Linked DNA regions of Zea mays. The protein of the gene in region 2 interacts with the protein of the main gene of each other region in a pairwise test. Links are inferred from orthologs where the notes say so. Each region holds a gene or a part of one and is shown on either strand. Other genes may lie near its edges.

Region 1 (4,420 bases), on a different chromosome or scaffold from region 2:
CCGAGTCCGAGCCCTGGGGTCGGGCGGAGCGGAGTTCGTCGTCTTCCGGGTCTTAGCCCGAGTCCGAGCCCTGGGGTCGGGCGGAGCGGAGTTCGCCGTCTTCCGGGTCTTAGCCCGAGTCCGAGCCCTGGGGTCGGGCGGAGCGGAGTTCGCCGTCTTCCGGGTCTTAGCCCGAGTCCGAGCCCTGGGGTCAGGCGGAGCGGAGTTCGCCGTCTTCCGGGTCTTAGCCCGAGTCCGAGCCCTGGGGTCGGGCGGAGCGGAGTTCGCCGTCTTCCGGGTCTTAGCCCGAGTCCGAGCCCTGGGGTCGGGCGGAGCGGAGTTCGCCGTGGCGCCTTTGGCAAGGCCTGACTGCGTGTCAGACTCACTCTGTCGAGTGGCACTGCAGTCGGAGTGGCGCAGGCGGTGCTGTCCTTCTGTCAGACTGGCCAGTGGAGCAGTGGAGTGACGGCGGTCACTTCGGCTCTGCCGGGGGCGCGTGTCAGGATAGAGATGTCAGGCCGCCTTTGCGTTAAATGCCCCTGCAATTTGGTCAGTCGGTGCGGCGATTTAGTCGAGGTTGCTTCTGAGCGAAGCCAAGGCCTCGGGCAAGCCGGTGATGTGTCCGCCATAAAAAGGGGGCCTCGGGCGAGACAGAAGTCTCTCGAGGTCGGTTGCCTTTGGCCGAGGCTAGGCTCGGGTGAAGCGTGATCGAGTCACTCGTGTGGACTGATCCCTGACTTAATCGTACCCATCAGGCCTTTGCAGCTTTATGCTGATGGGGGTTACCAGCTGAGAATTAGGCGTCTTGAGGGTACCCCTAATTATGGTCCCCGACAAAACTAGGATAGTTATAAGTGACCCAATTATTCCTCTTCCCCTCTTCCTCCCTCCCTCTCTCTATCTCTCCCTCTCTTGGGTAACATGGATACCACATATTCCCTAAAATCATATTTAAGGTTTTAAACTTAAATGTGGTAATTGTTTCTACAAATGGTATTTAGTTTCATGTTTTGTTGTGTTTAGTAAATTGTAGAAGAACCAACATTAACTAGATTTTTTTCTACTATTGTGAAGGTCCCATAGAGTGGAATCAGTTTTTTAGAGAGACCATAGGCAGGGATAACTATCAAGCAACATGGAACAACTTGTTAATTTAAAGCCCAATAAAGCTTCATCCTTTGGTGGTCCCAATAAAAGGTGTGTGGTGGGTAGTGCCGCCCACGCGGATATGCTAATAACCCTCCTTGTACTCCAGAACCTGCCTTTCCACACATAATGAGCATACCTACAAGCCATATTCCCATCCACATTCATCCCCCAACACCCACTCGTCCACCCACCGTTTTCCTTGTCTTCACTTTCCTCACGCAATTCACCCACCCCCTCACCATTTCCCCCATCGACCATTGCTGCCACATACCAAACCCACTTCCTGTGGTCTTCGGTGTCTTCCCCGCCGCCGCCGCTGCCGTCGCCGTCGTGCATCACACTGTCCCTCTTGCTGTGATATCTATGAGAGGTATGGGACTATTGACACCCTTCAAATCGTATTGCTAGTAAATTCTTTGACAAGGATGTTGACTGCCAACTGTCACTTCTACCTCACCACCTATCTTGATGTTGCTATGATTGGGGACCATACCCCTAACCTCAATAGCCATCAGATCTATCTCCCCTATCCACCCAAAATCTAAAGCCACTACATCTAATCCCAAAACCTAACCACACTTGAGTGCTACATGTCAAGGATCACATTTTTTATAGAAAACAAGTGCCCTCTTATTTAACCTTTACCCCTATTTTTATGTACTGCATTTTGTTTTTTCTTATTTTTCTACAATTTTTATGGAATAGTGCTATGGTTGAAATTACAAATACTTGAATTAAGTACAATTTATATAGACATCTTATAATGGGACGTTGGACTACATTGTTACCACACACATCCATATGTTTCCAGTTTTTAGAATTTGAAGGGGCACCCCTGGTCCATTAAATTACTTATCATGACCAAGAAATGGTTCTAGTAAAGCATTATAGTTCAAACTTTCAAAAGAATCTCCCTCTAGTAGTATAGAATGATTACAAAGATATCAGATCATGACATTGTGCTAGAGGCCATAATTGCAGGTTAGCCAATCTTTCTTCTATTATGTATTGTGTTAGTGCTGACCAAGCTCCCAAACATGTCTTTGGTCATGGTCCATTCATTAGGAGTCATCCATGCCATCTTGCGAGTTCCTCTATTCTAGAGATGGCCTTGTATTGTTGCATGTGTCCCAAGGGGCACAATTGCTCCAACAGTTTGAATATAGATCACCATAGTTACTGCAAAGAGCTTAATTTCTTGCATAGAAAGAATTGAGTTATTTGAATTTCCACAAGCTTCATCTTATAAAAGAGCATAACATGTTCCTAACTGTGATTTTCTCTCTCTCATACATCCAGGTTCTTTCAATGGATACATACCCTTAAATAGAGCATATACTAGTTCATCTCTTCCTTATTAAAATAGATAATGGGATCAATTTGGATGACATCCTCCTAATTTATAACAAGATACTCTCTTGACATACCTTAAAAGTACATCTAAGTCTAGACCCATTCCACAACTCCACAATAGTAGCAATCTGCCCATGCATTAGTACAAAAGTAAGGGTCCCAAAAACTTATACCAAGGTTAGATGAGTCTAGCCAATAATTGTCTTCCCAAAATCTCATCCTTTTCCATTTCCAATCTTCTATTTGTACCCTATTTTAGCTACCTAGACATCCAAACAAAACCCTTCCAAAAGATGATAGTTGTTAGTATCTTTACATGTAAGGCATTAGGGATTGTAGTACTATATTTGAGGTCTATGATTTGTTTCCATAGTTGGTCATCTCCAAATCGTACCTTTTTACCCAAGAAGCTAATGGAATAATATTACGATGTCTCAAGTCAGGGACACCAAGCTGACCATACTCTTTTCTAAGATAAATAGTCATCCAGTTAACAAGATGGTAAACCCCATGACCTTCAAATTCAAACTACAACTAGTGATCCATGTAGGAATTGATAAGCTAAATTGTCCACTTGAGAAACTTGATGAAAGATCAAAGGTACATGGACCAGTATGCTAAGCATGTTTTCATCAAAATCAATCTCCTGCTATATGTGAGAGAAGTCACCTACCTCTCCACCTTGCAACCTTTTAATAATTTTGACATCAATTGGATGTATATATTCTCTCCGCCTCCATTTGCTTCTATTTTCACAGTCAATATTACTCATCAGATGGTGTAGTATGATATAAGCACCACAATCAAGACAATAGTATATATGGTGCTCTAAAGGCATTGTTTTTATCTTACTAGATGCATATGTAGTTATCAATCATTTATCTACCTAGCCATGTGATTAAATACCTCATGTATGCATAAAACATTATGCACTCATGAATATATTTTAAGCTCATATTTCATTAATATGTCACACATGGTAGTCATTGCTAGCTCCAAGTTGAAAACATTTCTCCTATTATTTTGATTAAATAGGAGGACATGGGCTACTAAAAATTATTTAAAAAACTAGAGCATAAAAGTGCATAGTTCAAGACACAAAAAAGTCAAAATGAAAACCTAAGGAATTACAAAAAGGCTTGTAGCCATAAATCGATACTTGGATTATAACGTGTTTTTGCTCTAAGAATAACTAGAGCAAACTCTTTCCTGAAAACTACCTTGCACTTTGGAATTGAAAGCACAATATTGTTGAAAATGTTGTCATTACGCATTATCCAAAATGGCCCAACACATCTCGATTAGAATCTCCATGAAGAAAGAAAGATGAAGTTGATCTCTAACACTTCCAAATAACCACTATTAGGGAGTATAAATAGATTCAGAGAAGACAAACAATCCAAAGCAAAAGGGTAGTCCAACATAAGGTGAAAAAGATCCACTTCAACATCTAGTGAGCAAATGATGCAATTGCAACAATCTAAATGCATGTTTTTATATTTAAGAAGCGCTATATTACTCAACTAATTTTTTAGAATAAGGCAAAAGAAGATTTTTTTTATTTTTTCAAGCAAACTTCCATGACCGCTTGAAGGCTTGATGAATGTGTTGATATCATATAAGCAATTTATAAACTGTTCTTGAGGAGAAAATTTGTGATCCCCAAATGTATCTCCAAATCATTGTCTATTTGTAGATGTACTATAAGGAGGGTAGTGGAGAAAACTTGAAATTATTTGTATACCTCAATAGATAGAGGTAAATAAGAGTGTAGTAAAGGAGTAGAAGTTGCCCCATGAAGAGAAATATTCCAATCTTTACAAAAATAGTAGAGTTCTAGAAAAGAGTGACTCCAATCATTGTCATCCCACATATCAAAGAAAAAACAAAATGCACTATCCTTTGAAGAGACAATTACTATTCCTTTAAAATGGTTTTG
Region 2 (3,569 bases):
TTTTTGTGCAACTGAGTTTTCCCTCACTGACCAAGGTGAGACAAATTGGCTCACCGAAACGGGCAAGGTTTGCATGCGCAAGCTGAGGTTTTCACCGCGGACCCAGGAGAGCCAAACTGGCTCTGGCCAAACATTGCAAATTATCTGACTTGGACTCTTTTAATTGAATTTTGCAGATGTTCAAGTTCATCGGACTTGAATTCTCAAGTAATTTTTGCTAGATATGCTTTAGCTCACGTGATGATCAATCATCGATAGAAGGTTCAGATCACTGGTAAGGACAGGACAGGACAGAGGAAGGTTCAATCTTTGAGTACTCATAAAAACTATCGAGGTACTCGTAAAACAAGGTTTCAGTAAACTCTATATCAAGGATTCCAGGGTGAGTTCAGAGTACCATGAAAAGTTTCTGTAATAACTATGCTGAATATAGATTATAGAGTATATATATGTCTAAATCTGTTATGTCAACCACCATAGCTAAACCAATACAACTATGCAAGGAATGCCACATTGTTTGTAAAATCTTATTTGAACCGGTGGCGGATGTAAACAGGTAGAGCTAAGCAATCATCCAAGCCAGCACAATTTTTTGCACAAGTGCATAACATATATACTACTACAAAAGTGAACAACTGTAGAACTCTGAAAGACAACTTAACAGTCACCTCGATCTTGCATACTTGCACCAAGGCACCAAGCAAAGCTTCCCACAAGTTCATCAAAGCTAGAGCCTGGGGCCTTTCATTCGTCCTTCTTCTCGAGGCTGGTGTTGTTCAGCCGCTCGACGGCCAGTATAAGCGCCTGTGTACCGAGCCCGCCCTCGCCGTGCGCGATCAGCGACACGTACAGCTGTTGCGCGAGGGCGAGCCCCGGCAGCGACAGCCCCATGGCCTGGCATTCCAACAGGCAGATACCGAGGTCCTTGACGAAGTGCCGGACATAGAAGCCAGCCGCCATATCCCTCTCCAGGATCCGCTTCCCATACAGTTCCAGCGACTTGGACCCGGCTGCGCCGGTGGAGATGGCCTCCAGCCACTTGGCCACGTCCAGCCCGGCCTTGTGCGCGTACACCATGCCCTCCACGAGCCCTACCATGGTGGATGCGATGGCGATCTGGTTGCCCAGCTTCGCGCGCTGCCCCGCGCCGGGCCCGCCCATGTACAGCGCGTTTCCCATGAGCTTGAAGAGCGGCGCCAGGCGAGCAACGACGGCGGCGTCGCCGCCAGCGAAGATGGAGAGGGTGGCGTTGCGGGCCCCTCGGTCACCGCCGGAGACGGGGGCGTCGACGGCCGAGCAGCCGGCGGCGGCCGCGGCCGCGGCTATCTCGGCGGCGAGGGTGGGGTCGGAGGTGGTCATGTCGACTAGGATACCGCCTGGGGTGAGGCCAGAGAGGGCGCCTGTGGATGGATCGAGGGCGGTGGAGCGGACGTCGGAGGGGAAGCCGACCATGAGGAAGATGACATCGGCAGCCGCGGCGGCCGCGCGCGGGCTGTCCGCGAGGCTGGCGCCGCGGGAGACGAGGCCCTGGGTCTTGGATGCCGTCCGGTTGAATACGGTGAGAGCGTAGCCGGCGGCGAGGAGGTGGCCGGCCATTGACTGGCCCATGACGCCCGTCCCCACCCAGGCCACGCGGGTGGTGTCCGGAGAGATCGGACGCTCGGAGATGTTCGCTGCCGTGGACGACGACGACGACATGGCTGCTGCAGCGGCGGTAGCGGCAAGCGGAAAGGGCGGGCGGCGGCGGCGAGTGAGGAAACGGGATATGCCGGCGAGCATTTGGGGGCGGAGTAGCTGCTAGATATGCTGCCCCTGTATGCAGGTGAATTGTCGCAAATGCCCTCTTCTGGCGCGTCGCAGTAGCAGATAAGGCGGCGTGAGGTGGTGAGTACTGAGTACACTCATTTTCCTTTTTTTTTTGAACCAGCCTTTCTAGCTTCTATCGGTCACTCTCTTGAAAAGGAGCCAGTGGGCTTTATATCCATGGGCCGTATGGTAGCCCATCGCCAATCTGCATCAACCAAACTCGGCAGTCCTCTCCCGCTCTTCTCTGCTTGCTAGAGCTACAGCTAGCTGATCGGTATTTCTATTTTACTTCAAACCGTTTTGGTTCCTTCTCATGGTATCTTGTGTTGATTGGATTGAATCAGATGCCTTGAAGTGTCTTGTGTTTCGAATTCGAGGTTTCTATGGACACTCGAGGTAATTTAGGTCGATTCGGGTTTACTGGTGCCTGACTGTTCTGTACCTAATTGGTCTATCCGATCTGTGGAGGTAAGGTGCAGTCTTGGTTTACTCCGGATGTCCTAGATTACTCGATTCTCCACTTCATTTTCGTGTCAACCAGTTAGTTTGCACCTTAGAGTCTATAAAGAAGTGGGTCTGTTGTGATCCTGGGATGGTAGTGTGGCACCGATTTGTTAATTCAGATCTGTTCATTTTGCCATGACTATTTGTGGCTGGTATAGTCTGATTTGGTTCAAACGATTTTGTTATTTGTTGGCAGGCCTCATATCCATGGTAGCTCGTTTAACTAAAATATGATAGCTCTTTTAGCTCGCGAGCTGTCTCGTTAACAAACCGAGGTTAACGAACCGAGCTAGGATGTTAGCTCAGCTCGTGAAAAAAAATCAAACGAGCCGATCCAAACTAAACCGAGCTGACTATAAATCAAGCGAGCCGAGAAGCCATGAATTTCGTCCATCACTACTTCTAGCATGGCTTTTATATCATAATTTCCACAAATAAGGTAACTTATACACATAACTCTTTTGTTCAGAATAAAAAAAACTATACGCAACTTTTGCAGTAAATTTGTGCATGACATGTTCCCAGCTAATTTCTCAACATAAAAAAATTGTTCCTAGTACTGTGTGTGTTCGGATATGGCCGCATGGACTGTGTGTGTTCGGTCCAGAGAAAAATTGAAAAACAGAGGCAGACCGGCAGCAAGAAAACAGATAGACAAGAAAACGACGGCCTTACTTGTTCCAGATCATCCACGGAAAGTCGAAGGCAAAAGCCTCGTCCGGTTGTTGGTTTTGGTGTCCACATGGCCATGGGATGGCGGCGAGTCAGCGACCACAAGCCCATAGGCTGTGATCAAAACAAGCGAAACCCCGTTGGGAGGTACGGAAGGGATTCGGTGAGTCCGCAGTCCGCAAGAGCGGGTCGTCGGTCTCGCGTCTCGGTCAGCCGATGCGGGCCGGTCCAAGCACCCGCGGGCTTCCTGGCACCTGCACGGCTGCACCTGACACTCTGACTAGAGATAACAATGGACCTTATTCTGGTGAATTCTTCGTTATGCTAATTTGGAACCCTATTTTCCCACATAATTTTTATTTTCCTAAATAAAATTAGTTCATTTTCTATTGAAAAAATAGAAATTCATTGAAAAAAATAGAATTCCCAAACTAGCACTTAGAGATACTTTTGAGACCAAGGAAATTATAGATAATTGGAGGGGTTAAATTTTCTTTATTATTCAATAAATAATTATCTTGTCAAAACACCTTTAGTTGTATAAATATGTTTATTTTGATATATACATAATGATTTTTTTTACATCT
Region 3 (4,308 bases), on a different chromosome or scaffold from region 2:
TGAAGATGTCCCAGGGCCTCACAGTTCTAAATTCTTTTTTTTTTCTTTCAATTTTCATCAAGCACATCATACTCTGCACTTCTCCCTCCGCGACATACAACGCCGGAGAAGAACAGAAAAACACAATCGCAAGGAGGGGGAAAAAGAACTTGACTTTGAACGCGGCATAGCAGTTTTCCAAGAACCTAGGGGCTCCATGCATTGGAGAACAGGTCTACGCGTACACAGAATGCAATGCAATATAATGGTCCGACTCATTATTCACCGGTCAAGGGGCTCCGTCTGGTCCATGATGACCTGGCCCTCGGACACCTCCGCGAGTGACCGGAGGTTGCACTTGAGCAGCGCCTCCACGAAGTAGCAGGTCTCGTCCTTGGTGTTGCCGTCGGGGACGTCGACGACGAAGGACTCGATGACGAGCGTCCCTGGCCGGCCGTCGATGACCTCCGGGTGGACGGTGAGGATGGAGGAGTAGTTCTGCGGGCAAAGGAAAAGGAAGGTGAGATGCAGCAGATCGATGAATTAGACTAGTCGTCAGCTTTCACACACGCTGGCGTTCTTGCAACCAACCCAAGGGGGTCAGGGCCGGATAAACTTATATCCAGGTGGCGTCCATCGTCCATTATCCAGGTGCAACGCATGTGAGTTGTGACCATGGGCCACTTGTTGCTATCGCTGGCTGATGACGAGTGAGGGCAAACGGACGGAGCACGACAAGCGACAGCGAGTGACAGGTGCTCATGCGATGAACTTGGCATGTAAGGTCAAAGGATGGCAAGTCAGTGCCATGCTTGGAGTTGAGAGCATGCAAACATCACCCGGTACATAACAACAACAACAACCGCTGCTTGTTTTCTGGTTAGATAGACGACAAGAGTTTGTTGGGGGGCTATCACTCGAGGATGGCATCGTCGCAGGGCAGCACATCAAGATGCATCTGGCAGAGGAACTCCAGGACGCATTTGAGGTGGTGGGCAAAATATCTCGCATGGGCAGCACAGAATATAGATAGATGAAGAACAGAGCATACCTGCAGCCTGTGATCGCCTCCAACGAACCTGACGCTGAGAATGCGCTCGTCGTCGTCTAACAGCTCGAGCCTCTCCGTGCTTCTTGTGGCCGGCAGCCCGGACTTGACGTTGACCTCCCTGACGCTACCGATCTCGATGTTCCCCTTCATCTCACACCGGCTCACGAAGGGCTTGAAGAGCTGTGGCTGGTCGAACCGCCTCACCAGGGACCAGACCTGAGAGACAAGACAATTACTCGATCATCAGGCACTTCAATGTATGGTTAAGCTTTAAGCAGGTGACCAAGATTGATTAATCCACACTTTCAATGTAACAGACGAAGGAATAAACAGGTCCCCGGTTGCTTGCTATTCAAGTAGTATTAAGTGTTCTGCATAAACACCCTAACCGACCGGCTAACTGCACAGCTCGACCAGGCTCAGCTGAACCATCGCCAGGAATTGTAACAGGAAAAATGGCATGAACGGTGTACTGTCTACAAGTCAACTAAACACGCTTGAGGAATATGACATCTCTTCTAATCAGAGGCACAGTACACAGTTATAAAATGAGGCCTAGAGCCCTTGAGGTTGCTAAGCATATTCACAAGCATCCTTTTGGAATATGCTGAAAACTTGGGCTGGAAAGTCAGCCAGAAACGATGGTTCCCTCTGAAACAGTAATCAATTCAGTGCATCGCATCGCATAATTATGCAAAAGCTAATGTGTTTTTTTTGGGTAAGATTACTAGTTTTGCATCTGATCTTGTGCTGAAGCTGAACCACGTCCAAAAGGAGTGGAGTCCAAGTGAAGTGAAGCGTATCTCCCTCCCTCCCACCACCACCACCGCCGTCTGACCGTCTCGATTACTAGATTACTTGCAGAATAAAGCGGCAACACTTCAAAGCCTAATAACGCGGGGGATACAGGCCAGCAAAACAATGCATGAGCAGCTAGATAGAAATCTCAAAGTAATTAATCTGGCGGAAAGCAGATTCAGCGAGCGGGCATCTCGCGAGGTGCGGGTGGGGGGGAAGCATCTTCCCACCCACGGTGAGACGAGGTTACAGTACTACAGAACGGCGAATTAAAAATCGTCGAGGCTTTTCTGTGTGTATCATTTGCCTTTGCAACCAATCATGCATCTCTCATGTTCATCTCGCGAGAGCTCAGAAAAAAATTCACAGGCGGTTTCTTGGCAGGAAATGCAAATCTTAGATTTCGGCTAAAGCGACGTGGGTCCTCCCAGCAATGGATCCGCCCGACCAATCGCGTGAAAAGAGAGAAAGGATGACGACGGGAGAGACGAGCAAGCAGAAGCAGAGCAGGGCCGGTTCAAGTTCAAGACGGCATCCAAATCGGGCATCCTTGTTTCCTAATCAAGGAGCCGCGCATCGGCACTCCAAAACCGGGGGCGCCGGGCGGCGGGACCCGGCCAGACAAAAGGAGAAATCGAGAAACCGATCGAAACGATGTCTCGGCGGCGGATCGACTGCGCGAGCGCGACACAACACCCTACATACTCTCGCCATGGAAACGTGGAAACGGCACGGCGGCGCGGAGAAAAAGCATAGCAGAGCAGGCAGTAGGCGAGGGATTGATATATCTGATTCAGCGGCGTGGAATGGAAGGAAGAGATTGAGAGAGAGAGGCAGGCGCTCACAAGGTGGACAGGCGCCTTGATGTGCTTGGCGACGGCGGAGGAGCACTGGTGGTCGCGGGGCTCGTGCCGGTGGAACCGCCGCACGTAGTCCGTCTCCATGGCGCGCAGGTCGCACCGCTCGTCCGCCAAGCGCCACCGCCGCGGCGGCGGCGGCGCCGGCGTCTGCGCTCCTCCTCCTCCTGCTGCTGCTACTCCCACGCCTCCGTCCATCTCCACCACCATCACCGCCGCCGCCGCAAAGCCAGACACAGCCACCACGCTCGCAGCCTCGCACAGGCACAGCCCGGTAATGGAGGCGGCAGGGGCTTGTGTTCCGCACCGAGGAAAAGCAGACGACGAGGTGCGGAGCGAGGAGGTGGGGTTTTGCCTTTGCCTTTGCCTTGCTTTGCTTGTTTTGTTTATGCCGCGGCGAGACCGCGAGGGCGATGGCGATGGCGAGGGCGAGAGGGAGAGAGTGACGACGACGACCCCTGGATGGCACAAAGGCCGCAGCCTCAGGTGTGGTTGTTATGCTATTGGGTGCCGCTTACAAGCAAGGGCCTACTAGAATTAGGAATGCCAGATATGCCCTCCGAGTTCGCCACTTTTGCTTCGGTTTGCTCGTGAAAACATGGATGGCCGGATGGCCCCATGGCGGACGGCATTATCTCGTTGCCTTTTTTTTGGTTTGGAGATAGGTGTAGACATGTTTTTTTTCTAAAACAAGGCCCCATGCACGTCGCATAATGGTGTTGTTAAGCTATCGGAGAGCAATGTACGAGCAACTCCAATAATAATTATCTAAATTTTAGCTTTATAAATCACATATTTAAGAAGTTGTTAAATAACTTTGGGAGTTAAAAAGTGTAAGTTCACCAATAGTTTTATATTTATAGTTTTGTTTTGTATCTATCCATATAAAAATAAGTCACAAATATCATCAATTACATTCATTATCTATATAATGCAGTCAACATTTTTTTACGGAGTTGCTAAATAGTTGCCAAATGTAGAGAGAAAATGAGGCTAGATGAGAAGTTGCTAAATTAAGTAAGTTTATTTAAAGAAATGTTGGAGATGAGTTCTTATGTTGACTACCTAAATTATTGATTTAGTAAGTCTTTTAAAGAACAACGGGAGTTGCTCTTAGAAGGGATAATAGTTTAGCAAGTTGCTATGAAGGTTGGTTCTAACTGCGCGATTTTATCGATTGCTGGTGTTGGTTGGTTACGTCGATCGGTCAGTACCAACCTCGTTGTGCTAGCGCCGAGTACCGATTGGTCTCATGGATAGTCGATCGGTTGGAGATACGAGAGCGATTATGATTTGTTGGTTCGGTCAATACCAGCCGTCTTTAGCGATGTTGGACGTTTTGATTAGTCCACATGTGTTACATCAGCTAGTCTTTTTTAAAGAGTTTGAAATACAATTTTTTAAAAAAAAATATATGGAATGTGGTCTATAAATGAAGGGATGTTTGGTTCATTCACACTCCCCACTCTCTATTTCTCTTCTATCACTCTGTATATCAGTCCTCTCACTCTCCTTTCACTTGACCAAACCACCCTTGCCATGTCTTCCTCGGGCTCGATGTGGCTCGATGTTGAGATGACCGAAGATGAGGTACTCAATATGTCGCATCAAACTATGATGGAT

The links.
Region 1: the proteins of Probable 3-hydroxyisobutyrate dehydrogenase-like 1, mitochondrial (region 2) and AT-rich element binding factor 3 interact in binary tests that used the Arabidopsis thaliana proteins (3 or more experiments, as listed by UniProt). The link is inferred for Zea mays from reciprocal best matches to the Arabidopsis thaliana genes AT4G29120 and PYL6.
Region 3: the proteins of Probable 3-hydroxyisobutyrate dehydrogenase-like 1, mitochondrial (region 2) and uncharacterized LOC100272864 interact in binary tests that used the Arabidopsis thaliana proteins (3 or more experiments, as listed by UniProt). The link is inferred for Zea mays from reciprocal best matches to the Arabidopsis thaliana genes AT4G29120 and RCAR3.

Annotation. Positions count from the first base shown.
Region 1 is NC_050103.1:176,436,167-176,440,586, reverse strand, and holds the start of AT-rich element binding factor 3, read left to right. Parts: upstream 1-1,407; 5' UTR 1,408-1,491; coding exon 1,492-1,498; intron 1,499-4,420. UniProt on the Arabidopsis thaliana protein: Receptor for abscisic acid (ABA) required for ABA-mediated responses such as stomatal closure and germination inhibition.
Region 2 is NC_050098.1:204,470,565-204,474,133, reverse strand, and holds Probable 3-hydroxyisobutyrate dehydrogenase-like 1, mitochondrial, read right to left. Parts: upstream 1,839-3,569; 5' UTR 1,780-1,838; coding exon 745-1,779; 3' UTR 517-744; downstream 1-516.
Region 3 is NC_050099.1:232,111,009-232,115,316, forward strand, and holds uncharacterized LOC100272864, read right to left. Parts: upstream 3,014-4,308; 5' UTR 2,896-3,013; coding exon 2,674-2,895; intron 1,247-2,673; coding exon 893-1,246; 3' UTR 478-892; coding exon of another isoform or gene 262-477; 3' UTR 27-261; downstream 1-26. UniProt on the Arabidopsis thaliana protein: Receptor for abscisic acid (ABA) required for ABA-mediated responses such as stomatal closure and germination inhibition.